Linked DNA regions of Sus scrofa. The protein of the gene in region 1 interacts with the protein of each later gene in a pairwise test. Links are inferred from orthologs where the notes say so. Each region holds a gene or a part of one and is shown in the gene's direction. Other genes may lie near its edges.

Region 1 (10,918 bases):
AGTGGGGGGGAATACACTGTTAGTTTGCAGTCTTGTGGAAACACGTTGAGGTTTACATTTTGGAAAGATGGTTGTGGTTTTGGAAAGAGAAAGGATGGGAGCAGAGGCAAAGGTGGAAGCAGGGAGATTGGCCGGGAGGTTCCTGCAATCACTCACGTGGGGGCTGATGGTGATCAGGACCAGGGAGCTGGAGGCAGTGAGCAGAATGGAGAGATTCTGGGCCCCCGGGACTTGGGGCATCAGTGGCCAAGGGGGACGGAGTGGGTAAGGCTGAGGAAGGAGGAGCAGAGTCGGGCTGAGGTGGCGTTGGGGAGACACAAAGAATTTCATCTGATTCATCCAAGGAGGGATGGCAAGTATGGAATCTCAGGAATCACCCCTGATCTGGGAATCGTTGGAGGCCTCTTCCAAGGACTCTCAGGATTGGAAGGGCTCCTCACCTTTGGTCCAGTGCCAGGCTCCCCTTTTCCCCGGCCTCACCTGCCTGCACAGACTGGGAATTCCTGTCCCAGAGGCCCCCCTGGGGCAGGCCTGCCTGGAGCACCCCCCCTCCCCAGCCTGAAGGGAGAGAGTTGCCCCCGTGCCAGCCCCAGGACACGGGTTTTGGGGGGAGGAGCAGTGAAGGCGGTGAGTTCAGGTAGCTCTGCGTCCACTCCCACCGCCCCAGGCCGCTTGGCCCTGGCTGACAGATTCCAAGGAGGAGGCCAGAAGGCAAGCTCTCTGGGTTGGGCTACACAGGGCCACTGGGTGTGGCGGTGGCCACACTGCAGTTTCGGGCGGCGGTGGTTGTGTGTGTGAATGAGTTCTGCTTCCTCCCTTCGCGTGACCACCTAAGTGTTTGGAAGCTGAACTCTCCCCCGACATGAGGTGTTTCCCCAGCGGACGGGTGACCGCACCCTCTGCCCCAGGAACCATCTCTGTTTCTAGACCCTTCCCGTGGGGCCGCTCTGCCTCCTCAGCCTGCTCTCTGCCCTCCCTCATTAAATCTGGTTTCTGTGAGAATGTGATTTGAATTAACTCTTGGGAGAAAAAGCATAGAAACCAGGAAAGGGGGGCCGTGGGGAGGGGGCAGTGAGTCATGCTTCCATGTGTATTTTTCAAACTTTCCAATGGGAGCTTGGAAAGCAACCCCCTTTCGGTTGGTTGCCAGCTTGGACCTGGCTCTCCAAGGGTCCCTGGGGTTGCTTTCTCCAGGGCTGCACCCCGACCCACCCTTCAGGTCTGCTTTATTTCCTGGGGTCCCCTAGCCCTTCTCCCTCCAGGCTGGCTCATGCTGCGTCTGGGCTAAGGGAGGTCCCTCCTGGGGTGGCGCTTCGGCGTTGCCTCTGGTGTTGTGTCACAGTGATGGCTCCTCTGTCTGCCTCCATTTCAGGGTGGACCCATGGGGCCTGCAGCCACTCTGACCAACGCTTCGACCCTCGAGCACCTCTGGCAGCACCAGGGAGGCCAGGTTCCAGGACTCTCTTCTCTGCCAAGGCAGCTTCTTCTTTGTGCCCTTCCCTCCCATTTCTGCACCCCAGTTTCCGGAGTGCCTGTGGTTGAGGGGGAGAACCCCCTGGCCCCCAGGGAGCAGCCCTGCAGAGCAGAGACCTCATCCTGAGGAGGTGGGTAAGGAACAAAACGCCTCTTGTGTGCCGGGCTCTGAGCTGAGCTCCCGGCATCTGCCCTGGGAAGCATCAGGATGTCCAATCTGCCTGTGGGAACCCAGGCTCAGCCAAGAAAATGGGTGGGAATCCTGAGGGTGATGGTGGGGGGGAGCCCTGAGCCCTTCTACCCTCCCCCAAAGCTCCCTCTGCTGCCTCGGGGGTCCTGGACTAGCTGTCCCCTCCCAGCTTCTGACTAATTTTTCCTGGTAGTTGTTGAACATCCTGCCCCCACTGTGCCCATGCCAGCGACAGCCCACATCACATGGGCCACATCTGGCTCCACTTGAGCACACCCTCCCCTCCTTTGTCCCTTCTCCTCCTCTGCCCAGAGGCCAGAACCGGAAGGACCCATGAGAACTTCACTTCTTTGGGTCCATCAGCCACCCCCCCCACCCCACCCCCCACCTCCACCACACCGCCTGCCCTTTCACAGCCTCTAACATAGTCACCCCTTCCCTTCCTTTCAGTCTCCTCATCCTCTCTTCCAGCCTTCATCCCCTGGACATCTTGACTGGGTCCTTCAGCACCCCCTCCCTCACCGTATCCTGACTTCTTGGACCTGCCCCCCTCTCCAGCCCCCCCTTGAACAGCAGATTGGGAAGGAGGAATTTTGCAAGGTTTGAGCCCCCAGAGCTGTCCCAGGGTAGGGGGAAGTCCTGGTTGCCTGGGGATTAAGTTTTCCCTAGCCCAACCTTCTGTCCTGCTATGAGCTTGGGTTGGCCTGGGGTGGGGGTGGGGGGGAAGTAGGAGGGGTGACCCCACAGATATGTGTGCGAGGAGCCTGCTCGGTGGGGGTGAAGGGCTGAGGAGAACATAATGGCTCACCCTTTTTTTTTTTTTTTTTTTTTTTTTTTTTGTCTTTTATGAGGGAGGAGTCTGGAAAGCCTTCTAGCTACTGGTCTCCCTCCTCCTTCCTCCTTGCTTAGCAACTGTTGCTGGGTAAATATTTGCCCCACCAGGAGCTGGGGCTGGATTGCTGGTGTCAGCCCCAGGCAGCTGCCCCTCTCCTCAATTCCTGTGCCTCCCCTCTGCCCAGCTCTCTGCTCCTGGATCCCCTGGTCCGGACTCCCCCCAGTTACCTCAAAGCTCAGTTCTTTCTCCCTCATAGTAGACTTTCTCTCCAACCTCCTCCCTCTACCCACTCTTTTTTTTGTTTTGTTTTGTTTTGTTTGGTCTTTTTGCCTTTACGTGAGCCACTCCCGCGGCATATGGAGGTTCCCAGGCTAGGGGTCGAATCAGAGCTGTAGCCACCAGCCTACGCCAGAGCCACAGCAACTCAGGATCCGAGCCGCGTCTGCAATCTACACCACAGCTCACGGCAACGCCGGATCGTTAACCCACTGAGCAAGGGCAGGGACCGAACCCGCCACCTCATGGTTCCTAGTCGGATTCGTTAGCCACTGCGCCATGACGGGAACTCCTCTACCCACTCTTATCTCTCCCTTCATCCCCATTTGCCCTCTGTGATCAACTCTCTCTCATGCATCCTCCACTAAAGTACCTGAGTGAAGCCCCCCCTCTGAGCCAGACCAGTCCCCTGCCTCTACCCTCCCCCGCCCCCCGCACCCCCTGGGAGTTGAGCCTGACTGTGGCTTCTGGTACATCGCTGTGCTCACTGAACCCCAGACCTCACCTCTCTGCCCCCACCCCGAAGCCTTAGTTCAGCTGTGCCGAGCTCCAGGCAGGGAGAGGAGAGGGCATGCGGGATGTTTTGAGGACGTCCCATCCATCCTCCCCGCCAAGGCCAGGAAGCTCCGCTTCAGGAAGCCAGCCCCATTTTCACCTCCTTTGGGGATGGGATTGAGGGAATCATGGCCAAGAGGAAACAGATGCCCTCTTGGCCCCTCCCTGGGCAGCCTGAGAGCACACCAGCCTCAGGCCACTCGTGCATCCTGTCCCTCCCAGCCAGGTCCCTGCTGCCCTACCGCTGCTCCAGTGGCTCCCCCATTACCTGCCACTCAGGGGTCAAGGGCCAAAGTGAAGTGGGCTCTCAGGGAGCCCTGTAAGCTTTGGATTTACTAGACAAAGAGGGCAATTGGGGTGTTACTCTGGGGCTAGCCTGTGGGCTGGCATAGGGATAGTGGGACAGGGGAATCTGGGGAGCTGGATCAAGGCAGGTCTAGAAAGGAGGGGGTTGGCTTGCATGATGTCCTTAGACTCCTCCCAGCTCTGAAGTTCTGGCTTCTAAGCAATGACTGATGAAGCACTGGCCCAAGGCAGTCCCTTCCATCCCATGGAGTCTCCCTCCAGGAGCTCCTGACCTTGGCCAAGGCCCTGCCCATCCACCTGCCACACGTGGCCGCCACTAATCCAGAAGTGCCCTTTGATCTGTTCCCCCATCAGGAAATCTCCTGCAGATTAACCACCATCCTCCCCGGGGAGAATTTGCTTTCCCAGTTGACCTCCCTGGGGTGAGTGCCAAGGGCTAGCCTTGGAAGGGGACCCTGAGGAACTTAGGGGCTGCAGGGGCTGGGAACCCAGGTTGGTTTTATGGTGAGGCTAAGCAAGGTGAAGCTCAGGGATCCACAGTGGCACAGGCCTTCCCAAGACCCTTAGAGGAGCCTGACCAGGTTTCCACGTGTTCACTTATCTGTGTGAAATCTGTAAAAGATATTCTCATATTTTTAAGATAGAGCCTCCCCACAAAAATTGGATGGACACTTAGGAAGACCAACTGTCCGGTTTTGCCAGGAACTGTTCGGGTTTGAGCACTGCAAGGCCCTTGTCCTAGGAAACTCCTCAGTGCTCTGCAAACAGGACAGGTGGCCACTAGTTTCAGGCCCCACATTGGGTAACGTTTGCTCAGCACCTGGACTGGGGGTGGGGGGGGAAACAGGGATCCTTTTCTGCCTCACTTCCTGGAAGCCTCTCGGCGCCTAGGGCTTGGGGACCCTTTTCGCCGGCCCCAGTTCTGGAGTTGTGGCGCTTCTGTTTGTTTCCTTGGCAACAGGGAGAGGAAACCCCCATTTAGGAGACCCGGGAGGCCCCGGCAACCACACACACACAGACACACACAGACTCACAGGCAGCCGCCCACACGCAGGCGCCTGCGTCAGAACCAGCCGTCAGCACTGCCCGCCTCCGGGCGGCGGGGGCGGGGGGGCGGGAGAGGAACCACCCCGCCGGAGTCCGGAGTCGCCCTACCAGCCCGAACCGATCTGCCCTGGAGGGAACAAGCCCCGTCCCCTTGGCTCCGCCCACGTCTCCGGGGCCCCGCCCCTTCCTACGTCTACCTCCCCTCCCCCACCCTCACCAGGTGGGGCGGGGCCAAAGCTGGGAGATAGGGAGCAGAGAGGACGAAGTCACTGCGGAATTCCTCTTTGGCTCTTGTCTGGTGTGTACCGTGGCAGTATTTTGGTGTGTATTGTGACGGTTCCAGGAAGCCTGAGGCTCACAGGTGGGGCGGCTCTCTGGGCCCATTTGAGTGGGGGATGGGGTTTGGAATGTCGGGCAGGGACTCCTGGGCAGACTCTCGGATTTTGCTGTTGGATGGAGCTCCTTTGGGGTCTGGACTGAAGGGAGGTGGGATGTAGTTAACCTGGAGGCAAATCCCTGGAGTTTGGGACCTGCTTCTGTCTCTTGTTGTGTGGCCTGGAGCATATCAGTTAACCTGGCCCAAGTCTCAATCTCCGTATCTGTATAATGGGCATCATGGTGTTTGCTTTGTGCATCTCAGAGAGGTTTGAGAGGGTTAAGGTAGTAATCTGGATTGTGAAAAGATGACACCTGGGAGACCTGCCCAGCCAAATGTGAAGTGTAAAGGGTTGGTTCTGTGCTCATTATCTAGCGGCCCTGTCTGGCCTGGCTGGAGCACCCAGGGAAGATAGCCAGCCCTACACTGACCCCTGCAACCCCTGCCTCATCATGGTAGCGATAATGCCCATCCCTTGAGGTCGATTAGCCCCTTCCAGTATGTCCAGAGTGATGTCCTGTCTCCTACAGTAGTGTGAAATAGGGTCCGAGTACTATTTGGGGGTTTCTGGCTGTGTTTGGGCAAATCTTAGCTTCTCCAGCCTGAGAAGCCCACTTTGTAAAGAGAGGGGTTTAATTCTCAGAGCCCTGGGGGCCTCTTAGGGGAGGGGCAAAGGATCACCAGGCAGGGGTCCCTAAACTTCCCTGCTAGAGAGACTCTGCCTCTGTCATTTAGTATATTGGGCTTTTGGGGTGAAATTTCATTCAAATGAGGGGTTCACTGGCTTTACAAAAGGCCATCAAACACGCTCCTTCTGAGGGCCTTCCCAGCTAAACTAAGCCAAGCTAATTGTTCTAAGCCTGCATCATTCCATCTAGCTGGGTCCGGATGGGAAGAAGGCAGTTACTCAGCTGGACTATCTTAGGTCAATTAGTCAACTTCTCGGAGTTTGGGTTTTTGGTATATAAAATGCAGATAATAATACCTTCCTCATAAGGCTGAAGTCAAGATGAAGTGGGATCAGCCCCACATGGCCCCTAGCCCAGTGCCTGGTATGTGGCAGCTACTTAAAGAACAGCCAGGTCCTTCCATACCACCTGTGCAGGAGTGACTCAGCAGTTCAACAGGTGTTTAGTACTTGACCCTGTGATCAAAGAATGAATAAGACAGGGACCCTCCCTCCAAGCACTCTAGGGAGTTCCTGTTGTGGCTCAGGGGAAACAAACCTGACTAGTATCCATAGGGATGCAAGTTTGATCCCTGGCTTCGCTCAGTGGGTTAAGGTAATCCATCGCTGCTGTGAGCTGTGGTGCAGGTTGCAGACGTGGCTCAGATCTGGCATGGCTGTGGCTGTGGTGTAGGCCAGCAGCTACAGCTCCAATAGGACCCCTAGCCTGGGAACCTCCATATGCTGTGGCTGTTGCCCTAAAAAGACAAAAAAAAAAAAAAAAAAAACCAACCCAGAAACATTATAAAGGGATTCCCAAACCATAGCCTTGACTCTCCAAATCACCCCCTATTTCCTAGACCCTCTCCCAAAGAGTCACCCCTTCCCACCCCTGTGGGGGCGTATAACTGTCTCCCAATGGCCTAGGTCCCACTGGAATCCTCCTCTCTCCCACTCCTACCTGTCCAGAATTACAGCCTGACAGCTAAGTGCTTGGCTTTCAGAGCAGGCCCACCTGTATCACAATCCCAGTTCTGCTACTAATCATATGACCTTATACAAGTGTTTCTCAACTGGATGTGATTTTGCCCCACAGGAGACATTTGGCACCTTCTGAAGACATTTTTGATTGTCATAACTGGGGGCAGAGGGCTAGGGATACAGCAAAACATCCCATATGCTTAGACCCACCCCTCACAGCAAAGAATTATCTGGCCTAAAATGTCAAGAGTGCCAGCTTTGAGAAACCCTGCCTTAGATGAATAATTTAACCTCCTTAGACTTCAGTGTCCCCATCTGTAAAATAGGACTAATAGTAGTGTTTACCTTATAGATCTATTGCATAGGTTCAACAAAGTCACGCAAATACCTAGTGTCTAATAATAGTAGTTACTCCACACATCCTCCCTACACAAATCATTATTAGAATGCCTCTGGAATCCCTCCTGGCTGCACCCTTCTGCTGAGCCCGCTCCGTTTAGCTTGCCTCTTGCCAAGGCCTGTGCCTCTGACTCCTTCCTCGCTGGTCTCAATGCCTCCCTCCTCTCCTTATTGAGCAGCCAGAATCCTTTCCCTCAGACCCCCGTCCCCAAACCAGGCAGGAGGCTGCCTCCATCTCCCCCTTCTCCCATCCTGCCTCTCCTCCTGCCTCACCTCCAGTGTCTCCCTGCTCAGCTCAGCTGTGCACCCTCAGCTCTTTCCCGCCTCACAACCTCTGCACAGACTTCCTCCCCCAGCACCAGTCCACCCCCGCTCCTCCCACGTGTCCTGACAAAGTGGCATAAGATAGTGAAGAAGTCCTGGAGCAGGCAGCCTGGTCCGAGTTCTGAGCTTGGCCTCTCGCTTACTGTCTGGTTTTGGGAATGTCAGCCTCAGCTGTAAAACAGGGACATGTTCTCCAGTCTATGAGGTGGTTTGGGAACCAAGATGAGAATGTATGTGAAAACTTGCAGCTGTAAAGAGCATCAAGGTATAAGTCACCCAGTTTATTGAGCATTGTCCCTTTTTTTTTTTTTTGTCTTTTTTTGCCTTTCCTAGGGCTGCTCCCTATGGTGGGTCCCAGGCTAGGGGTCGAATTGGAGCTGTAGCCACCAGCCTACGCCAGGGCCACAGCAATGTGGGATCTGAGCTGCGTCTGCAACCTGCACCACAGCTCATGGCAACGCCGGATCCTTAACCCACTGAACAAGGCCAGGGATTGAACCTGCAACCTCATGGTTCCTAGTTGGATTCGTTAACCACTGCGCCACAACGGGAACTCCAAGCATTGTCCCATTTTATTTTCATAGCCCTCACCATCTTCTAACAGATTATAAATTTTGTCTTTTATTTATGGACCATCTCCCTCCACTAGGATGTCAGCTCCATGAGTTACTGCTGTATACCTAGTGAGTAGAGCAGTGCCTCATATACAGCAGGTGTCCAATAAATGTTTGTTGGATGAGTGAATTCTCCTGTAAACTCTTAAACCTACCTCCTCCAAAAAACCTACCTACCTTCCTTTTTTCCTTTCTTTCCTGCCACATCAACAGCATGTGGAAATTCCAAGGGCAGGGATTGAACCTGTGCTACAACAGTGACAATGCCACTAGGATCCTTTACTCCTAGGCCACCAGGGAATGCAAGAAGCTTCCCTTTATTTCTTTGTGTGTTTGCGTGTGTGTGTGTGTGTGTGTGTGTGTGTGTGTGTGCTTGTTTGCCATTTCTAGGGCTGCTCCCGCAGCATATGGAGGTTCCCAGGCTAGGGGTCTAATCAGAGCTGCAGCTGCTGGCCTACACCAGAGCCATAGAACTCGGGATCCGAGTCGAATCGGCAACCTACACCGCAGCTCATGGCAATACTGGATGCTTAACCCACTGAGTGAGGCCAGGGATCGAACTTGCAACCTCATGGTTCCCAGTCTGATTTGCTAACCACTGAGCCACGATGGGAACTCCAAGAAGCCTCCCTTTAAATGCATGTTAATTGGTGTTCTTGCTGTGGTACAGCGGGATCTGCTGGTGTCTCTGCAGTGCTGGGACACAGGTTCAATCCAGTCTGGCATGGTGGGTTAAGGATCCAGTGTTGCCACAGCTCTTGGTTACAACTGTGGCTCGGTTCTGATCCCTGGCCCAGGAACTTCAAGTGTCCTGGCGCAGCAAAAAAAAAAAAAAAAAAAAAAAAAAAAGAAAAGAAAATTAAAAAAACACAAAAATGCATGTTACTTAATTGTTGCAGCATCCCCATTTTATACACAAGGAAACTGAGGTTGAGTGAAAGGGGAAAACTCACCCAAAATCACTCACCCCAAAAATGGCAAGGCCAAATACATTTGTTCATTTAAGACACACTGAGCACCTCCTGTATGCCAGGCACTGGGCCAGGTGTTAGGGACACAGATAGCCAGGCCCTGGTCCCTCCTGTCCTTCATAGCACTTTTGGGAGGAAGGGTCATAGGGGGAGGCCCAGGATGCTATGGAAACAGAGTAGGGCCCTGACTCCAAACCACCCCTTGGACTCAACCACTATTTTCTGATATCACTTATTAATGTTCCAGCTCCCACACTTCTGGAATCCATTTGGAATTCATTTTCCAGTTCAGGGTTCTATGCTGCCCTTTAAACCACCTGTGCTTGATTTTTCCACCCCCCCTCACCCTCTTTTCCCTACCAGTGGGCACCTCCCTTGAGAGCAAACATAGTAGCCCAACCCCCATGTCTTCGATAAGACATGAGACAGATGAGGCCCAGAGCATTCAGTAGCAGATCTGTCACTACATAGTAAGTGAGAGGCAGGATTGGAACCTGGTCTCCACCCAGTCACAACTCCCACCATCCTCACCCCCAGGAGGCTGGTGTCCTCGTGTCCTCTGAACCTGCCTTCCCTGCTCTCTCCTGCTTCTTCAGGGACTGGTGATCTACACCCTGGCAGGAGGAAGGCAGAGGAATCTTTGGGATTCAGAGTTAGGATTGAATATTCAAGATAAAGGCCCACTTTGAAGTTCAGGTTTAGGATTGAGGCCATGGTGGTGGTAGTGGTGGGGGCACCCTTTGGAAACAACCTAAAGTGAAATTTAGGGTAAGATCCCCCCTCCTTTCTCCTGCCTCTTTTCTCCAAAGATGGGGAGGTCCGGGATAGGAAGGGTTAAGTGTGGTTTTGCTTCCCCAGCCAGGAGGGGAAGCCTGGCCAGGCAGGGACTGGGTGGGGCAGAGGGCGTGCTGGAAGGGGGGCTGAGGCAGTGGGAACAGCCAGTGTCCCTCATGTTTCACTGGCTCACCCACCCCGCCTCTGCTTCTGGTTTGGGGAACACAAGAGGGAGAAGCAGAACGAGACTTTTTGTTTTGTCTGGGAAACTGAAGGTGGGTACCACGCCCTCGCCCTCGGGGAGAGGGCTACAGGGAGGGGAAGCCCTATCTCAGGTCCCCTCAACTGGGTGCCTCCTGGATACTCACTATACAGCCCAGTAGCCCCCCCCCATGGAAACCTAAGCATCCCCCCCCCCAACACTCTGAGTCCTGCCTTCATCCCACTCCAGTCCCTTGTCTCTCTGAGGCCAGCTTCAGAACCCAGAACAGAGGACCTGTCCAGCTCAGCTTCCCTTGTTTATCCTGGAGCTATAAGGAGTTAGCAACATAATTTAATTTCCCAGGTTCCTCATCAGAGAATCAGCTGTGGGAGGCACAGGGGCAGGGCAGGAAAGTGCATGGGTTCGGGAGCCTGAGCCACTGCCACCTCTTAGGATGAGATGGTTGGTAGGGCCAGGATCAGGGGAGGGGAGTAGAAGGCTGATCAAAGTGTGTGTGTGGGGGGTTCCTTGGTGAGTCCTGAGGATGGAAGAAGCTCCAGAGCCTGGGGTGGGGAAGCCTGGGAACTTGGGTGATCCTGTTTTGTGAGAGGGCCTGGCCTCTCCCCAGAGCCAGTTGCAAAGCAGACCTGGCCAGAGAGGAATGTAGAGATAAGTGCAGTGCTGGCCCCGCAGCCAGCGAGGTTGTGGGAATCTTTGCTGTCCCTACCTGCTCCCCCACCCCCTAACCCCGTGTCTGGCTGAAAGCAGGATGGAGACCCAGCATTGGTTGTCCAGCACCCTGCTCTGCTCCCCCTTTCAGGCCCCTCTGGGAACCACAAAAATCTGGAACCTGGTGTCCTGGCAGTGTGATGAATGCATGCACAGCTCTGGTATCTGTTTTAAATTATCCATTAAAATAAGTACAGTC
Region 2 (10,358 bases), on another chromosome or scaffold:
TTGTGTTGGGAACATTCTACACTGGTGCTGGTGGTGGTGGGGATGGGGGGGTTGGGGGAGTGGAGTAGAGTAGGGGAGACATAGGGGTCAAAAGCAGAAGCAGGGAGACCAGAAGGCTATGGCTATAAGCGCATCCTGGCTTGGACTAGCATAGTAGCAGTAGCAGTGGAAGTGGTGAGATGTGATTGGATTTTGTATATATTTTGAAGGTAGAGCTTCAGAGGAATTTTTTTTTTTTATAGGTTGTGGGATATAAGAGAAAGTGAATTAAAGATTATGCCAAGGTTTTTGGTCTGAACATCTGGTGGAATGGGTTTGTCATTCACTGAGATGGTGAAAATTGGGAGAGAAATAGGTTTGGAGGAGAGAGACAAGAATCCAGAATTAAGCCTTGGATGAGTTAATTTTGAGATTCTCATTAGAATCCAAGTGGAAAATGTGAGCAAGCAACTGGCTATAACAAGTTGGGATGCAATGGGAGGAATCTGTGCTCGAAATATAAAATTGGGGGAGTTCCTGTTGTGGCTCAGCGGGTTAAGAACCTGACTAGTATCCATGAGGTTGCAGGTTCAATCCCTGACCTCGCTCAGTTGGTTAAGGATCTGGCATTGCTGCAAGCTGCAGATGCAGCTCGAATCTGGCACTGCTGTAGTTGTGGTTTTAGGTCAGCAGCTGCACCTCCTATTTAGCCCCTAACCTGGGAATTTCCATATGCTGGAGGTATGCTCCCCCCCCCCAAAAAAAAGAAAGAAAAAAAATAGAAAATTAGAAAAGATATGGATGATATTTAAACCATGAGACAATAGGGGATCATCAAGGGATTAATCAGCAGTGGAAGCTGAGGAGTAGCCAGGGAGATCGGAAGAGAAACGAAAGAATGGGATTCTCAGGAGTTCCCTGGTGGCCCAGCGTTTGGGGGATCAGGTGCTGTCACTCCTGTGGTACGAGTCTAATCCCTGGCCCAGGAGAAAAAACAACGGGGTTCTCAGAGGCAAAAGCATTTGGTTTTGACATGTTGAGTATGTTTGGTTTTAGACCTGTTGAGTGTTGCCAAGCACTCCTTTCCCATGAGGCTTGCTGGGGGCACTAATGGAGCTTACTGCTTGACCTATGCAGCCTAGCTAGGGATCCAGAGATAGAAGACAGTTCACTGGACTGCCTGTTTTTCGTGCCTCCCTAACCCAAATTTGAAGTATCAAAACATCTTTTTCTGTACATTTGAGGATAGTATTCTGCTGCCTTTCGCCTCGTATTTTGAGAGATCACAAAATGAAACTGTCAGGGAAATAGAGCCAGTATGTGGTGATTTCTGAGTTATAAAATTTAGCCATTGAAGGGGATGAGGGAAGTAATTTAAGGGCCTGTCATATGCAAGGCCCTATGGAAAGTGCTTTACATATATGATGTATAATCTCAGAGCAAGTAACTCACCCAAGGTCACCGAGCTACTAAACCAAGAAACAGAGAAAGGAATTAGAGTGATTCCAGAGCCCTGCTTTTTATGACAACTGTGCTGGGGAAACCTACTATTTTTAAAGCCAAGCGAGAATGGGCCCGTGGAAGAATGGAAGCTACAGAATGGCTGAAATTGCTGATTGAAGTAGCAAGGGTCAGAGGGAAGCAGAAAGGGATAGGATTTAAGGCAAAAGTAGAGATGTGAACCTCGAAAAAGAAAACACATCTTTCTCTGAGTTAAAAGGGAGGAAGAGTATGAGAGTGGAGATAAAGTGAATAGGAGATGATTTTTGAGGTGATCATGATTTTGGATAAATAAAAAATAAGATCACCTTCCCAGAAAGGAGTGGAGACCTTAGGAACAGCTTCTGGAGAGAATATGGAAGAGATTTCTCTCCTTTTCCTTTCCTCTTTCTTCTTGCTTCTTCTTCTCTGTTTCCTTCCTCTTTCTCCTTTGTTCCCTTCTGCCTTTCTTCACAGTTTCTCTCCAGTATTTCACTTTTCTTATCCCTTTTCCTTATTTCTCACTTGTTTTATTTCCCACTTTTTCCCCCTCCTGTCTCTTTTTACCTTTTTTCTTTCTCTTCTTTCCTTCTCCAATTCTTTGAGCATAGACAAAGAAATGAAGGTGGCACAGCCGACATATTTTACCTATTTAGAGGAGGAGGGAGCTCCTGATGTGGCTCAGTGGTAATGAACTTGACGAGTATCCATGAGGACACGGGTTCCACTCCTGGCCTTGCTCAGTAGGTTAAGAATCTGGTGGTGCTGTGAGCTGTGGTGTAGGTTGCAGGCGAGGCTCAGATCCTGAGTTGCTGTGGTGTAGGCCTGTGCCCACAGCTCTGATTCTACCCCTGGCCTGGGAATTTCCATATACCACACTGGCCCTTTAAAAAAGAAAAAAAAGAATAGTGGGGAGTTGGTCATTCCTCCACCAGGTGGCACAATGACTTAAGAATCTGACTGCATGCAGAGGTTCTGCTCAGTAAGGCCCAGGTTCCATCCCTAGAACTGGAGCAGTGGGTTAAAGGTTCTGGTGTTGCCACAGCTATGGCTCAGATTCAATACCCTGGCCCGGGAACTTCCATGTGCCCAGGTGTGGCCATAAGCTTTTTTAAAAAAGGACTAGGGGGGAGTTCCCGTCGTAGCGCAGTGGTTAACGAATCCGACTAGGAACCATGAGGTTGTGTGTTTGATCCCTGGCCTTGCTCAGTGGGTTAAGGATCTGGCGTTGCAGTGAGCTGTGGTATAGGTTGCAGAGGTGGCTGGGATCCCAGTGTATGCTGCAGGAGTGGCCCAAGAAATGGCAAAAAGACAAAAAAAAAAAAAAAAAAAAAAGGAGTGGGGGGAATTCCAGCTGGGGAAGGGAAGTTAGCCCAGAGGAGGTGATACTTACATTGGCTGACTGATGTCTGCAAAGAAGTTAATTTCAAGTTTCAGTGAGCTGGGTACTGCTGCCATGAATAGCATACTCTTTCGTTTAATGTTATCAGAGTGAGTCTCTCAGCTGTATCTCATTTACCTCAGGTCTCAGTTCACACTGAGGAACAGGAAATGTTCTTGCAGGAGGTGGCACCTCTAGGATCAGAACAAGAACCCGGTATGTCTCTCCCATCCGTGAAAGTCCAGCTAAAGTGTGAATCTCCGGACCTTGAAGCCCAGCAGGAGCAAGGTAAAGAGGAAAGACCCATCTTGGGAGGAAGGGAAGATGCAGCTAACACAGGACACTGGGGCTTTTTTGTACTTCATGCTGTTTCTGATTATCAAAGTCAAGACAGTCTCCAGGAATCTGACAGCTCATGCGTAGACCTCAGGCAGCCTAGGTTGTCATTCTCCAACTCTGTTTTTCTCTTTATATTAATATTTTCCTAATTTCTGGCTGTAATTTTGAGATCACTTAATTTAGTCCTTCTGATATTTTCCTCTGTACTGAGCTTCCTGCTATTTTTAGCCTTTATCCTACCAGATAATACCTCTGTCTTCCAATATTACTGTTTCCTGCCTCCTTCAGTAAATGATAACCTTTGCCCCATAATATCTGTAGTTAATGAATGCTCAGATGGTCTAGGGGAAAAGATATATGTGTGTGTGTATTCTTATGCAGAGAAGGAGTAAAAAAGCAAATGTGATAGAATGTTAAAAGCTGGTGAAGGGATGAAAGACTACATCTTCCTTTGTTCTACTTGCTCTTTTTTTTTTATTTAATTTTTTTAAGTGAATGAAAATTCACATGGTTCAAAACCAAGTTATCCAGTGAAAAGTTTTCTTTCATTCCATTCAATTTCCCTAGCCATTTGATCTCCTATTCCTATTCTGAAATAAGTTGTCACCATTATTAGTTTCTTGTATGTCCTAGAGGTTTCTTTATGCATATGTGTACATTTTTCATATTCAGCTTTATTTTCCTATCACAAAAATTGTAGAATTTTGCCTTTTTTGCTTTATAGCTGCTTAATATTAGAATGTGTGGCTGTACCACACAAAATAACTTAATTCATTCCCCTGCTGATGACATTTAAGGTGGCCCTAGTCTTTTATTATAACAGTGCTCTGTTGAATAGCCATATATGTGAGTATATCTGTAACATAAATTCCTATATGTGGAATTACTAGGTCAAAGTTATATGCATTTGTAATTTGATAGATATTGTCGAAGTGCCCACTATAAAGTTTGGAACAATTTATACTCCCACTGGCAATGTGTGATAATCCATTTCATGAAGACAGCGTTAACATCAAGCTGATGGTAGGAGTTCCTGTTGTGGTACAGCAGAAAGGAATCAGATTAGGGACCATGAGGTTGCGGGTTCGATCCCTGGCCTTGCTCAGTGGGTTAAGGATCTGGCGTTGCTGTGAGCTGTGGTGTAGGTTGCAGACTCGGCTCGGATCCTGGGTTGCTGGGCGTAGGCCAGCAGCTGTAGCTCTGATTCAACCCCTAGCCTGGGAACCTCCATATGCCGTGGGTGCGGCCCTAAAGAGCAAAAAAGTTGATGGCAGGTCTCATGGGTGAAAATTATACTCAATATTTTTTTAATAACATCAATCACAACTATTTTTATTTATTTTTTTCTTTTTTCAGCTGCCCCCCCAGCTTGTGGAAGTTCCCAGGCCAGGGATCAAACCCGCATCCTCATGGATACTAGTCAGGTGCGTTTCCACTGAGCCACAACAGGAACTCGCAATATTGTTTTTAAATTTTCTTTTCACTTGCTGTGAGGTAGAGCATCTTTTCTTGTGTTTAAGAGCTCTTGTATATCCTTTCCCAGAAACCATCAATTTTTTCTTTGTCCAGTTTTCTATTGGATTATTGGTCTTTTCCTTAATAGTTTTTGGAGTGCTTTTCATTAGTCTGTCCTGTATTCTAATGCCATTTTTTTTTTTTTTTTTCCTTTTTGGCTACATCCAAGGCATGTGGAAGTTCCCTGGCCGGGGATTGAACCTGTGCCACAGCAGTGACTCAAGCCATTTCAGTGACGGTCCTGGATCCTTAACCCACTGTGCCACAGTAGAACTCCAGGAACTCTAGGTTCTTAGGCAGTTTTCTTTCTTTCTTTCCTTTTTTGCCTTTTAGGACCACACCTGTGGCATATGGGAGTTCCCAGGCTTGGGGTCATCCCATTGGAGCTGTAGCTGCCGGCCTACACCACAGGCACAGCATCGTGGGATCCAAGCTGTGTCTGTGACCTACACCACAGCTCATAGCAATGCTGGATCCTTAACCCACTGAGCAAGGCCAGGGATCGATCGAGCCCACATCCTCATGGGTATTAGCTGGCTCAACCACCTGAGCCACAATGGGAACTCCTAGGTTCTTAGGTAATTTTTGTTTGAGTAATTTTATGTTACCTGTTGAAGTTGCTGTTTGCTATCATAAAAAACTGGCTAACATTTATGATCCATTTTTAGTTTCAGATGTTGATACTGGAAATGAGTACAGGAATTTAACTCCAAAGCAAGAAGTTTCTGAAGAAATGAAATCATATGGGAATATATCTAGCAAATTTGAAAATGAAATAGCTCAATCTACTGGGTATGAGAAAACTTGTGAACCTCAAGAAAAAACAGAAGAGCCTTCCGGATACTCCAGGGAAGATACATGTCATGAAAATGGAGTAAGTTTGACTGAGAACTCTGACCGTCCTGAACAGCAGAGAGTCTGTCCAGGAGAAAAACTTTATGAGTGTGATGACTGTGGAAAAGCTTTTAGTCAGCACTCACGCCTTCTAGAACATCAGAGGATCCATACTGGAGACAGGCCCTACAAATGCGAAGAATGTGGAAAAACTTTCCGTGGGCGAACTGTGCTTATTCGACACAAGGTAATACACACTGGAGAGAAGCCATACAAATGTAATGAGTGTGGCAAAGCCTTTGGCCGGTGGTCAGCTCTTAATCAGCATCAGAGACTTCATACAGGAGAGAAGCACTACCATTGTAATGAATGTGGCAAAGCCTTTAGTCAGAAAGCAGGCCTTTTTCACCATCTAAAGATCCACACAAGAGACAAACCTTACCATTGCACTCAGTGTAATAAAAGTTTTAGTCGACGTTCAATTCTTACCCAGCATCAAGGAGTTCATACTGGGGCAAAGCCCTATGAGTGCAATGAATGTGGAAAAGCCTTTGTTTATAACTCCTCCCTCGTCTCCCATCAGGAGATCCACCACAAAGAAAAATGCTATCAGTGTAAGGAATGTGGGAAATCCTTCAGTCAGAGTGGCCTTATACAGCATCAGAGAATCCATACTGGGGAGAAACCCTACAAATGTGATGTTTGTGGAAAAGCCTTTATTCAGAGGACAAGTCTTATAGAACATCAGCGAATTCATACTGGAGAGAGACCCTATAAATGTGACACATGTGGAAAGGCTTTCACTCAAAGATCAGTCCTCACAGAACATCAGAGAATCCACACTGGAGAGAGACCCTATAAGTGTGATGAGTGTGGGAATGCCTTCCGAGGAATCACCAGTCTGATCCAACATCAGAGAATCCACACTGGGGAGAAACCCTACCAATGTGATGAATGTGGCAAAGCCTTCAGACAGAGGTCAGATCTTGGTAAACACCAGAGAATCTGTAATAGAGGTGGTCCCTATAAATGGGAAGAGTGTGGGGAGTCGTTCAGGCAGAACTCAGCTCTTACTCAACATCAGACCACTCACAAATGAGAAGAATCTGGTTCTGTGTGATGACTGCAGGCAAGCTAACTCATAGAGTGCAGGCTGGAGAGAGACTAGCTTTGAAATGATTTAGGACAAAACGTTAGTCACTAATTCCATAAGGAAACCTCAGCTACTTTATAAAAAATCCACTATGTGCTTCCCATTTTATTAGTTGCTCTGGAGGTGGAGAACAAGGAGCATAATGCCAGATTCCTTTTCTTAAAGAGTTTACAGTCTAGTTTAAAGATGTATAAGGTCCACCTATTTAGTTAAATGAGACGTAGGACTGAAGAATTGATGTTTGAAGTAGGATAGAATTAAAGTGGCATTTGGCAAACAGTAAGTACTATAAATTCTGAGGGACAGATCACTGTTGCCTGAAACAGTCAGGAAAGATTTTATCGAAAGAGTTCCTGTTGTGGCTCAGCAGGGTTAAGAATCCGACTTTATCCACGAGGATACAGGTCCTGTCCCTGGCCTCTCTCAGTGGGTTAAAGAGCTGGTGTTGCTGCAAGCTGCGGCATAGGTCGCAGATACAGCTCGGATCTGGTTTTGCTGTGGCTGTGGTGTAGACCAGCAGCTGCAGCTCCAATTTGACACCTAGCCTGGGAACTTCCATATGGCGCAGGAGCAATCCTAAAAAGAAAAAGATTTTATTGAAGATAAGAGTTGGATGGGGATATTTGGGAGGCAAAAGGCAGAAAACATTTAGGGCAGAATAAATGTAAACAAAGTGCATGTGGTTTGTAAGCATCCATGACAAGACTAGCCAACCTAAAGTAGAGAGTTCTTTCATTTGGGAAGTTGATGGTGTAAAAGTGTTGTGTGGGAACTCTGGGAGAGTTAGATACCAGTAATTTCACCTAATATTTTGAGACTTAAAGAGCACTTTTTTAATTCCTAAAAATGTTTCTATAAATTATTCTCTGTTTTTAAAAATGAGGGTACCCTCACTAGAAACTCTAAGGAGGAGCCAAGAAAAATTTAAAAATTCATTTGCCGAGGAGTTCCCGTCGTGGCGCAGTGGTTAACGAATCCGACTAAGAACCATGAGGTTGCGGGTTCGATCCCTGCCCTTGCTCAGTGGGTTAAGGATCCGGCGTTGCCATGAGCTGTGGTGTAGGTTGCAGACGCGGCTCGGATCCCCGTTGCTGTGGCTCTGGCGTAGGCTGGCAGCTACAGCTCCGATTGGACCCCTAGCCTGGGAACCTCCATATGCCGCGGGAGCGGCCCAAGAAATAGCAAAAAAAAAAAAGACAAAAAAAAAAAAAAAATTCATTTGCCGAGATGAAAGCTGGGCTAAAGGCATTGAACAGCAGAATGAATAACGCAGAGGAAAAATGAGGATACTCTGCTATGGAGATGGTAACATAGCTACAATATCACACAAAGGAAAAGACCATCAGCTCTTCAGTGCAGGTTTCTGATTTCAAGTTCTGTTCATTACATAGTGATTCCTCAACATCAGTGAACAAAGTCAAAATCACCTGTGGAGCTTGTTTAAAATACCGGAGTCCTACTCACAGATATTATGTGTCATTAGGTCTGGGATGGAGATTAAGAATCTTCATTCGTATGGCTCCATAGTCACCTGATGTACTCTAAAATTTGAGAAGCATCTTTTTAAGTCACTGCTGCCTGTGTGGTTGCCAGTGAAATAAGGAAGCATGAACACAGACCACCACAAATTTTTAGCGTAAGGAAAGCCTTTCAGGGGCCATGTCCACCAGCTCTTTAGAGTGAACAGGGAATTAGCCATCATACTTAAAGACTAGGGCTTTAAGATGGCCTTTCTGTCCCTTCAAATTTAAATGTTTCAAAAAGAGAGACTGACCTACATTCCAAGGCTCCTAAGGGTCTTGTGAGTGCAAGGCCTGTGTGTGCGTGTGTCTGTGTGTGTCTCTCTAGTTAGGGCAGAAGTGCTGGTACTCCCCCCCCACCTCTTTAGTTATCATCGTGTTTTGAATTCCCTAATTATTTCTCTTGAGAAGTGGTTTACAATTTTTTGTTTTGTATACCTTCTTGAACCCATAAAAGAGCCAAAGATTAGTGAGTCTTTCCCTTGGTGCTTCAGGGGAAAAAAAAAAAAACTGGTTGACATTATGTCTGTGTTACTGTGTAAACAGTTCTTTTTTGATGAGAACATGTGATGATTACTGTAGTGGATAATAGGCAAGCCACAAAGAAGTACACATAGCTCCTGGTCTATTTATCTTTTTATTTACAGAAATCCTATTTGATCTCTGCTGAGATAACCTTTTATTTCTTTGCCTTTCTTCCTTGCCACAGCCAACTCCTCAATTTCTAGGACTACGTTCCCACCCTGTCTCACACAACTTCAGTCCCCTTATCACCCCTCACCTTTAGCTGGTCAGTGGGTTCGAAGTGCTGAGACGTGACAGAAGAGGAAGGGGAGAAAAATGAAGGATATCACTATTCTTTTTTTTTTTTTTTTTTGTCTTTTTGCTATTTCTTGGGCCGCTCCCGCGGCATATGGAGGTTCCCAGGCTAGGGGTCCAATCGGAGCTGTAGCCACCGGCCTACGCCAGAGCCACAGCAACACGGGATCCGAGCCACGTCTGCAACCTACACCACAGCTCACGGCAATGCCGGATCGTTAACCCACTGAGCAAGGGCAGGGATCGAACCCGCAACTTCATGGTTCCTAGTCGGATTCGTTAACCACTGCGCCACAATGGGAACTCCGGATATCACTATTCTTTACTCTTAACTACCTTTCTGCCTAGGCCTGTCTATCCCATCTCCCCATCTCTCTAGTACCCCTGTCAGTAACCCCTCTGTCCATAGTCCTTATAAAGGACATAAAAATATCAGCACTGGCTTGGAACCAGAAGAGTCCTTAGTCTTGTAGAAATACATATTTTCCTAGCTTTCTAAGTTATAATTGTGAATACATTTTCCTATAAAAATGATAATGGTATTAGTACTATCATTGAGGCATATTATGTGTTAAATTGGCTTTGGGGATTAGAATGTACATTGACTGTGGGAAAACATTCTGAGTTCACAACATAGGAAAGCAAATGAACATTTGAAAAACAAGTCACAAGTTGAGGACTGTTAATTTAGGCTTTTTCATAAGACCAACATTGGATTGCATGCACAGAGCAATGAGGCAGCTGATTTTTTATATCCGGGAAGGATCCCAAAACTGAGCCTGAGAGCTCTGTAGCCTATGTATATGAGGTCTATTTCCTACCTAAGGTTACCCTGTCTTGAATTTTCCTCTCTCATGTAAATTCTTCTCTTAGGAGGGAACTGGTCTAAATGACAAGACTTTATAAGAACACCTCTTTACCAAACTGATGCTGTCCATACTTGTCATCTAATCTGATTTCACAAATGTGTTTTCCAAACTGCAGTTACTCTACATAGTAACGCCAGAGCCTCTCTTTTTAATCTGACTGCTCAGTGGAATGCAATCCTTATTTTAAACTTGCTGTCTGCTCTCAGTGCTGTTACCCACAGTCTCTCCAGTTCATCTTCTGCCTAACATGTTCCCTCAATGCACATGTGTTCCTCTATTTGCCTCTCTCTTAAGTAATATTATAAAGGAACCATAAACAAAGACCCAGAACAATGGTATGTGCCTATTATATAGAAGAATACAGTTCATAACTTATTTAAAAATAAATGTGGGGGGTTCTAGTTGTTTCCTGGGCTTAAATACAGTTGTAGTAACCGCCCCCCCCCAAAAGAAAGTGGAGTGGCATGGTA
Region 3 (10,358 bases), on another chromosome or scaffold:
TCCCACCAACAATGTAGGAGGGTTTCCTTTTCTCCACACCCTCTCCAGCATTTGTTATTTGTAGAGCACTATGATCTTGATGCTATCTCTGTCCAGGCTGGATTCATCTGGGCTACACAACTGGTACTATGGGCTTCCTGCTCCTATAGCATTTAACATGATAGTATAGTGCTAGCTACTGGTCTTCTCCGCTAGACTGTAGTCTTGCTGAGGATCAGGCTCATAACATTCACATTGGTATCCTCAGTGAAAACATAATAACCCTTTAGTAAATATTTTTGAATAAATGAAATACCTAATTCAAATCAGAAAATATTTGTCAAATGCCAGTTTTCTGCTAGGCACATTTCACATGACCTGGGAAACAGGTTAGTGGGACAGTCTCTGTTTTTAAGGTATGATGGTATAATAATGAGGATAAGATCAACATAAAATACTGAGAGAAATCAAAGTATTGTAACTGCTGTGAAAATATAAACGATCATGGGGAAATACATGTTTTTACACTTAAAAAAAATTACACTAAAGAAGTAGATAATTTTCTTTTTTTCTATAAAAGTTATGTTCTGGGCATGGAAATATCTGAAAATATAGAAGCACAGTCATGAGATTATATATCATCTTATGATTGAATGAGGGTTATACATTAGCTGGATTAAGCATGTTACACCACTGGATAGTAATACGTGAAGGAGGAAATAACAGTATTTTATTAATCACTTGGTAGAAAAATTAAGATGCTGGATGCTCCCCATTAGCCTAAAAGATTTATTACATGTGTGTCATGTTATTGAGGTAATACCCCTAGGTTTATGATATTCTAGTAAGAATTTGGAATTTTATGAGTTCTGTTCTAATCAATCTGCCTATAATTGTGTAGTCTTTACTTATAGGGATCTGGGACCATAATTATTCCTTCAGCTATTCTACTTTTGTTTTAAAATCACATGTAGAATAGATATATTAATACCTGTAATAGCTAGTATCTGATCACGTGTAGGAGCTGCAGTACATTTTGTCCATTTCCACCCTGCTGTGCCTTACTTTAGGCTATTATCTCTTGTATGTGATGGAAAATAACTACTTGAGAATGTCAAGATTGGCCTTTGATGAACAATAGCTCTGCTTCCATTATAGTTAAATGGAGACTTCTGTATTCACTGCCTCATATTTGTTTCTCAAGTAGCTGGGTATGATTTGCAGGACTTATACCCAAATTGTTCTCTTATTCAGCAGCTATATATGGAGTATATATCTGTCCCAAGCAATGTTGCAGGTACTGGAGCTACGAAAGTGAGAAAATAGGCAGTCTCTGCATTGTTGAGCCTTAGCATTTAACACTAAGTGCAAGTATTTATTTATTTACATGCTTATTTCCTGTTTCCCCTCACCTCCATACACCGCAGGTGCAGCCCTGAAAAAAAAATTTAAAAATATAAAATTATTTATTGAATAAATTGATTAGTTGCTTCAGTATTTGTCCCATTATTCTTTTTTTTTTTTTTTTTTTTTTTTTTGGTCTTTGCCAGGGCCACACCTGCAGCATATGGAGGTTCCGAGGCTAGGGGTCCAATTGGAGCTGTAGCCGACGGCCTACACCAGAGTCACAGCAGTGCGGGATCTGAGCCGCGTCTGCAACCTACACCACAGCCCATGGCAATGCCGGATCCTTAACCCACTGAGTGAGGCCAGGGATCGAACCCGCAACCTCATGGTTCCTAATCGGATTCCTTAACCACTGAGCCACTACAGGAACTCCTGTCCCATTATTCTTGTATAAGATTTTACATCTTTAGCTCTCTGCCACGGAGTTGCAATAAGATATCTTAGGAATTCAGGGGCTGTTTCAGATCTGTTTGGGCAGAAGACAGTTCATCTCCTAGCTTGGTTACACTTCAGTTTTATACACTTCAGTAGTAGATTTTGTGGGAGGCACAGAACTCTAGGAAGCTATGATGAACCCTGAAGTCTATGTGCAGATCATCAGTGGGTGTACATAATGCTTTTAATATAAGAGGGAGGTGACTATCACCAAACATAGTAACTGCTTCTTGAATCTGAGAATAGTTCTGAAACTGTCTAAATGGGCCTTCATTTTGTTTTTAAAGCAAAGGGTTTTTTTGTTTTGTTTTTTATCTTTTGTCTTTTTAGGGCCGCACCTGTGGCATATGGAGGTTCTCAGGCTAGGGGTCTAATAGGAGCTACAGCTACCGACCTCCACCACAGCCACAGCAATGCCAGATCCAAGCCATGTCTGTGACTGACCTACACCACAGCTCACAGCAATGCTGGGTCCTTAACCCACTGAGTGAAGCCAGGGATCAAACCTGCAACCTCATGGTTCCTAGTCAGATTCGTTTCCACTGCGCCACGACGAGAACTCCTAAAGCAAAGGTTTTGAAGATATAGCTTCATGATAGGAAAGGGATAGAACTCTTTCAAAATTACACATGACCATGCCTCACCCCCAACTCAGTTGGTTAGTTGGAGGAGTAATATAGAGGGCCATGAGGAGCTGTGCACTATGAAATCCCTAGGTGATAATTGACAAATTGACACACTTCCCCAACTAGAAAGGACAATTGCATATTCTAGTTTATTTAAAACATATATATTTATTTATATAGTTGCTAGTAATCCACTTTAAACAGTTTTTAATTTTAAAGTTTTTATTATGACAGTTGTAAGAACTGTGAGTTCATTTAATTTTTTTCCTTTTAAATATTTCACTGGAAACAAAGATACAAATCCACACAAAAAATAAATATTTCACTGGCATGACTTATTTCATAAACTAATTTTAAGGTAACATTTTGTCTAATGATTGAAGCAACAAATGGCAACTAGACACTTAAATAATTCAAAATTTCTATGTTTGTGTACTCTAGGGGCAACTTGTGAGAGAGAGTAGGCAGCTGAGAACCAATTATTAAAATTTTGAATTTAGAATAAATCTTCATTGGACATCCTGAAGTTTGGTTATAACAGGCTCTAATCACCTACTATAAAGGAGAAAATCATTTTTTCATTTTGAAGAACAACAAAAAAATATTTCCTATTTGCTTCTTCATGAGCGCTTCAGTACCTTCCAGAGTGGTGGTTATTGTCTTAAACTCTATTTAAGAGGAAACCCATGAGTGTACCCAATGAGTGTAGTATCCTAGAACACATTGTACCTTTCCATTTTGAAAACTAAATATTTTTTATAGGCTTCTTACATTCCTGGGCAAGTTTTTGTATTAGCCTTAGTGTATGACCTGCATGTATAGCTGTGTCTATGTGGTGTCTCAACGGCCTGTTGAAAAGAAGATGAAACATTACTTAGAGTCAAGCTATTTGACTAAATTCTATAGTTACTGAGCATTCTGACAGTGCATTTAATTTGCAGAAATGGCCAAGAATAAACTTTAAGTTAAATATTGCTTTTATTTATATCATATTATCTTTTAATTGCCTGAGTACTCAAGCACTCAAATGGAAGGAACATTGCTACAAGTCTTAACCTTTTTAGAGTTTAATAATTCTGGGAACTTACTTTTTCTATCATATCTAATGAAAATATCAAAAGTTGTAAAATTTACAGAAGAGAAATAAATTATATTTAATCTTTTTTTAAACTAGTGTTCAGAATCAGGTGGATGAAGTCATTGATGTCATGCAAGAAAATATTACAAAGGTAATTGAAAGAGGGGAGAGACTAGATGAACTACAGGACAAATCAGGTACAGACTCTTCATATATTTCTTGATATTATTAATCTGTGTTTTGATAATTCTCCCACTTTTCTAGCCAAAGTTTGGGAATCTTGACATGGGAAAAAGGGCATTTATGATTTTAATGTTTTAACTTAAGTTCCCTTTACTTTGAATTATCTTGTTGTATTTCTTTAATCGATCAATTGAGAATGGAAAAATTAAAAGTTCATTGTTGAAGAGTTAAAGAGTATTTTTTTTGTTTTGTCCTATTATGTTCCTGTCCTTTCTCCTGATCTCAAGGACAGGTCTAATCACTTCTTTTCAACACTTATGTTAAACTTATTCTCATATGCTTTCTCTGGCAGCTTAGCAACCTTTCTTTACTCACTAATGTTAGTCTTTGACTTATAACAATTCCTGGCATTTATTGGGCATTCACATATTGTTTAAATGACGAATGGCTGAATGAATATCTGAGTAATCTTTGGTAGACTTGTGTAACCAAAAAACCTATTTAACCACTTTTTAAAATTCATATTGTTTTGCTTCAAAATCATTCATTTTTGGTATCTTCTAAGCATCTAGCCTTCTCCATGTATAAATTTTTTTTCTATAGATGTGCCAAGTGTTTGAATTTCTAAAGAGTATTTTCTGCCATAATTCATAAATTTATTTGAAAGTGGTGAGGCCCTGGGAAGACTTCTCTTACTCTTTTTGTAAAAGTGGATTGAGCAAACTAACCTACAGCCACTTTTTTTTGCTTTTTGGTTTTTTTCTAGACTAAAGAATGCCAGAGTTTGTGAGTGCAGGAGAGAAAAGATACTGTTTTTGTGCTTAAAAGGGAATAGATTTGCAGAAGTAGAAATTAATATTTTTTATCTTTGTGTGACTATATAAAAGACGCCTGTTAGGTCATTTAATCCTTCTCTTCATTCTCTATGTGATATAGAAAGCTTATCGGATAATGCAACAGCTTTTAGCAACAGATCCAAACAACTTCGAAGGCAAATGTGGTGGCGCGGATGCAAAGTAAGTAAATCAGAAGATGTTGGATAGGTTGCTGCATATCCAGTGGTACTCAAAGACATAAAGAAGAAAGGGCCTTTCTACATTCTGTGAGGACGGGTCCTATAACTGTCTTGCTTCTTAGTATATCTTCTGAACCTGGGACACAGTGGGTGCTCAGTAAATATTTGTTGAATTAATACCTTTTAAGACAGAAATAACTAAAGAAATCAAGTAATGCCTAAAAGGATGTTTTTGTAGATTTCTTCACAGAGAGTAATCCACATTTTATCAATAATTTAGCTACCTCTAGACTTACCGTGTAAGAAATATTATAATTTATTATTAGTATCTTTTTGGAACAACCTATAGCATTACATAGAGTTATTTAAAACATAGACTGCGAGTTCCCATCATGGCTTGGTGGTTAATGAACCTGACTAGTATCCATGAGGATGCAGGTTCGATCGCTGGCCTCACTCAGTGGGTTAAGGATCTGGCATTGCTGTGAGCTGTGGTGTGGGTCGCAGATGAGGCTTGGATCTGGCATTGTTGTGGCAGCATAGGCCAGCAGCTGTAGCTGTGATTCGACCCCTAGCCTGGGAACCTTCATATGCCATGGATGTGGCCCTAAAAAGACAAAAATAAATAAATAAAAGGTAGAATGCAACTTGAGAAAAATAAAATTTTCATTTGAAAAGGGTTGAAAAAGTAAATCCAGTTTATATGTCAGAATCCACATGGCAAATGGAGCTTAAAAAATCCCACTGTCCTGTTATTCCAAATAAGATATAAAAGAAAAATTTGTAACAAGGAAAACAATGGGAATCTTTATATGCTAATACATTCCTATAAAACATTTTATACAAATGAATTTACTCCTTAAATCAAGTACGGCTACTAATTATTAAACAGAAAACTATTTCTCTTAAGATTTCATAGCAAATTTCATGTCATATAAGCAGATCTTTTCTTTTTCCTCCTGGAACTGTGTATCATTTTTGGCTTTGTTGAAAATCTTAGATATAACTCATTGTTTTTAGTCTCTCATTTTCAAGTTTAGCAATAATTTTCAAAACTTGATGATATGCTAAGGACTTCTTCCAAGAGTTGCCTTGGATTTATTCAGTTTTGTTTATCTGTTTAACTCACTTACTTTCAGAAATAGAACATGGGGAAAGAAACAATTCTCTCATCTAGAATTTAAATTTTCTACTTTCTTTAGTGAATAAATTTTCTATCGTGGAGACTAGATTGCAAGAACAAAAGGTCCACGAGCCATTCACCTTCTCTCCCCATATTCCCATTAATAAAATAATGTGCATTTTGCCTGGTCATATCTAAAGATTTTCACTTTATACTTTATGGGGTCCAGATCAAAGAAATAGTATACTTTTAAGGGGAAAAGTTGAATTATATCCTTAATTTATACTTATAAATAGTCTCTGTATCACTACCATATTCCAGATTAAGTTATGCTTATTTAGGAAGGGCTAATGAAAGTGATATAGGGACAGGAAAAAGATCAGAGGTTGCCCAGGGCTAAAGGTGGAGGGGTAGAGATTGACTATAGCAGGGCATGAGAGCACTTTTTGGAGTGATGAAAGAGTCTTCTGTTTGACTGTGGTGGTGGTGGTTGATAATTACATGTTTGTCAAAATGCATCAAAATGAACTTTTTTTTTTTCTTTCCTGGGGCTGCACCCGCGGCACATGGAGATTCCCAGGCTAGGGGTCTAATCAGACCTGTAGCTGCTGGCCTATACCAGAGCCACAGCAGCAGGGGATCCAAGCCGCCTCTTCGACCTACACCACAGCTCACAGCAATGCCAGATCCCTAACCCACTGAGCAAGGGCAGGGATCGAACCCGCAGCCTCATGGTTCCTAGTCAGATTTGTTAACCACTGAGCCACGACGGGAACTCCCCTCAAAATGAACTTTAAAAGAGTGAATTTTATTCTATGTAAAGTATGTTCAATAAACCCAACTTTAAAAATAAATGATGGAGTTCCTGTGGTGGCTCAGTGGTTAATGAACCTGACTAGCATCCATGAGGACACGGGTTTGATCCCTGGCTTCACTCAGTGGGTTAGGATCTGGCATTGCTGTGAGCTGTGGTGTAGGTTACCGATGTGGCTCGGATCCCGAGTTGCTATGGCTGTGGCATAGACTAGCGGCTACAGCTCCAATTGGATCCCTAGCCTGGGAACCTCCATATGCTGTGGGTGCGGCCCTAAAAAAGACAAGACAAAAAAATAAGTGAACAAAATTATCCAACAGGTGGGGAGAATCACTGACACTTAACTATCTTAGGAGGCTCTGAGGCTCTTGTATGTTTAATGAGAAACAGATTTTTGTCCATGTCCTTTGGAAGAAGAGCGCTTTGGTCATGCATGAATATGTAACTGGCATTTTTGATTGTAAACATTTCCTGGCCAGTGTTTGAGACTTTATTTACTGAGGTGTTTTAAAATTAATATTGATATTTCCATCTAAATCTTTTAAATGTTAAGTCTAGCACAGATTAACAGGGCAAATTAATATATTTTTTGGTAATGTTGAAAAACTGCTATGCAATTCCAAATTTAGAAATGTTTTCAGTTTTTTTAAAAAATGCAAGTCTTCCACATATTCTCTGAATCGCTTTGTCACTAAAGATCACTTTGTCACTTGATAATATAATGTGGACCTAGACACCTATGGGAAATGTACCTCCTCTATCCATCTGATCTGAATCTGTTTCTACACTTTTTGGATACCATAAATAATAATTTTAATAGGCACCTGATATTCAAATTGCAAAGCTTCCATTTAATCTGTTTTTTGTTCTTGTCATGAATGTAATGGCACTAAAATTTCTCCAGTAGTTCTATTTTAGAAACATTTCATTAGCTACTCCTAGTTGCTGTTTGTGATACTCATCAGATTGTTTCCTGTGTTAATAATAATTGGGTGTCTTTTTTCTGATTGAACCATCTTGAATCGATTATCTCTGAAAATGTTTGATAAAAACAGGCTTTCATTTGAATTCATCAGGAAAATCAAATGAAATAATTTATGCATTTTAGGATTAAATGAGGAATGTGACAATTTTATAGAGAGAGGATGTGAACCTAAAGTGTTAAGTAGCTAAGGACTAATCTTAAGTTTTCTCTCTTAACTGGGGAACTGACACACAGTGCTCTTAGGCAACTTATTTATTAAATGAAGTTATTTATGAAGAATCTAAATTTGGAAACCTTTTAAGGGGTGAACCTGTCCACTGATGAGTTAGTGTAATATGGTAAATAGCACAACAGTCTTTATTAACAAGTCAAACATTCATCTTTCTTATGCATTTTTGTGTGTTGTAGATAAAAGCCATCATGGCTTTGGTTGCTGCTATCCTTTTGTTAGTGATTATCAGTAAGTATTTACTGGATTATTAATTTTGGGGGGTATCATTTGTTTTGAAGTTTACCTAAATTTCCTTTTTATTTTCAGTTGACTTAGTATGACTAATATTAGGATTGAGTGATGACTTCTGACCCAGTCAGGAGCTCTTAAACTAAATCTATAGCTCTCTGGAAACAATATGTAAAATTTTATGTGAATATGCATATGTACATTTTTATGGGAGAAAGTATGTCTTTCATCAGATACTCAAAGAGCACCCCTGTCCTACCCTCAACCCCAGTCCCCAAAACGCAGGGCTCAGTGATTGAGGCCAAATATGTTTACTATTATGCTCAGGACCAAATACTCATTTTCCATTTATTAACGTTTAGGTATGGCAGATTGAATTTTGCAATATTGTGTTTGAAGAAAAATCCAGATAACTTCTCCAGATGATAGTTTTTTCTTGAAGTAGTTGATTGATAGTGTTGTGTTAATTTCTGCTATACAGCAAAGTTACTCAGATGTACACATGCAGTCTTTTTTGAAAATATTCTTTTCCATTATAGTTTATCACAGGACATTGAATCTAGTTCTCTGTGCTGTGTAGTAGGATCTTGTTGATTATCCCCTTCATATATAATAGTTTACGTCTGCTAACCCCACCCTCCCACTCCATCCCTCCCGAAGCCCTCTCCACCTTGGCAACCACAAGTTTGTTCTCTGAGTCTGTGAGTCTGTTTCATACATAGGTTCTTTTGTATCATTTTTTAAATTCTACAAGTGGTATCATGTGATATTTGTCTTTCTCCTTCTGACTGACTTCACTAGCATGATAATCTTTAGTTCCATCCAGGCTGCTTTAAATAGCACTATTTTGGGGGTGTTTTGGCTGGGTAGTATTCCATTGTCCATGTGTACCACATCTTCTTTATCCATTCACTCCAGATGATAATTTTTATTGTAGATTTGAGCTTCATTTCAGTCATTAAAGCATAACTCTTGCCCCTTTTTTCCTTAATATTCTTTTTAAAATATCATTTAAAAATTTTTATTGCAATTAATTTATAATATTGTGTTAGTTTCAGGTATATAGCAAAGTGATTAAGAGCACTGATTCAGAATCAGATTACTGATTCAGCTCAGTGATTTTTTCACACATTTTCCATTATAGATTAGCACAGAACTATATTCAATATCTTATAATATACAGTAAATTCTTGTTGGTTATCTATTTTACGTATAGTAGTTTGTATCCGTTAATCGAATACTCCTAATCTGTCCTCCCCTCCTCCCTTTCTCCTTTGCTAACGATAAATTTTTCTTGACTGTGAGACTTTCTGTTTTGTATTATAGATGCATTTGTGTTACTTTTTAGATTCCACATGTAAGTGCTATTACATTCGTCTTTCTCTGGTTGGATCACTTTTAATGTCTCCTTTTCTCTAAAGCTGCTTTATCTGTGTTTACAGAGATTTCTTTTTCTTTGTTTTTGTTTCCATTTTATGGTCACACCTGCAGCATTATGGAAGTTCCCAGACAAGGGGTCAAATCAGAGCTGCAGCTGCCAGCCTACACCACGGCCACAGCAATGCAGGATCTGAGCCACTTCTGCGACCTACACCACAGCTCACACCACCACCAGATCCTTAATTCACTGAGCAAAGTCACAGACACCAGTTGGTTTCTTAATCTACTGAGCCACAGTGGAAACTCCTATTGAGATTTTTTTTTTTAAGATTTGGCAAGTATCTCTCAGAATAACCATTTGAAAAATCCCATGGTGATAGTCTTCTTTTTTGGCTGCACCCATAACACATGGAAGTTCCTGGGCCAGGAATTGAATCTGAGCCACGGCTATGGCAACACAGAATCCTTAACCTGCTGAGCCATGGTGGGAACTCCAGGTAATACTGTTTTTAAACAGAAAAAAGGTTTTGTTGCGAAGAAAAGTCACTTGTGGATTCTGTGTTTTTTAATTCCTCCACTAGCTAACGTTGATTAGTTACCCCAGTGCTTTCGGAGTCATTGGCTGATGTATTAAGAGAAGTGCAAACTTTAAGTCTTTTGACCTGCACGTTCCCAGCTAATTCTAACGAGGTCATGCTCTGCCTTCTACTTTCATCTCAAAGTAAACAGGTGTCCTTCAGGGTCTGTTTAATGCCACGTTTCTCACATTTTTTGTGCATCTGGGTGACTTCGCTGTTACTGAAGTGCTGTCTAGTGGGGTTAAGCACAAGGCTGTGATGTGCCTTGGGGAGGAAATACACGTATTAGCTAAGC

Evidence for each region.
Region 2: the proteins of LMNA (region 1) and ZSCAN12 interact in binary tests that used the Homo sapiens proteins (3 or more experiments, as listed by UniProt). The link is inferred for Sus scrofa from reciprocal best matches to the Homo sapiens genes LMNA and ZSCAN12.
Region 3: the proteins of LMNA (region 1) and VAMP4 interact in a two-hybrid assay, tested with the Homo sapiens proteins (2 studies listed by BioGRID and IntAct, with this or other methods). The link is inferred for Sus scrofa from reciprocal best matches to the Homo sapiens genes LMNA and VAMP4.

The regions. Positions count from the first base shown.
Region 1 is NC_010446.5:93,920,307-93,931,224, reverse strand, and holds the start of LMNA (prelamin-A/C), read left to right. Parts: upstream 1-4,940; 5' UTR 4,941-5,043; intron 5,044-9,436; exon of another isoform or gene 9,437-10,063; intron 10,064-10,810; exon of another isoform or gene 10,811-10,880; intron 10,881-10,918.
Region 2 is NC_010449.5:22,195,497-22,205,854, reverse strand, and holds part of ZSCAN12 (zinc finger and SCAN domain-containing protein 12), read left to right. Parts: intron 1-2,982; coding exon 2,983-3,127; intron 3,128-5,361; coding exon 5,362-6,505; coding exon of another isoform or gene 6,506-6,626; exon of another isoform or gene 6,627-7,608; intron 7,609-10,358. UniProt on the Homo sapiens protein: May be involved in transcriptional regulation.
Region 3 is NC_010451.4:114,143,829-114,154,186, reverse strand, and holds part of VAMP4 (vesicle-associated membrane protein 4), read left to right. Parts: intron 1-3,621; coding exon 3,622-3,722; intron 3,723-4,644; coding exon 4,645-4,724; intron 4,725-8,053; coding exon 8,054-8,105; intron 8,106-10,358. UniProt on the Homo sapiens protein: Involved in the pathway that functions to remove an inhibitor (probably synaptotagmin-4) of calcium-triggered exocytosis during the maturation of secretory granules.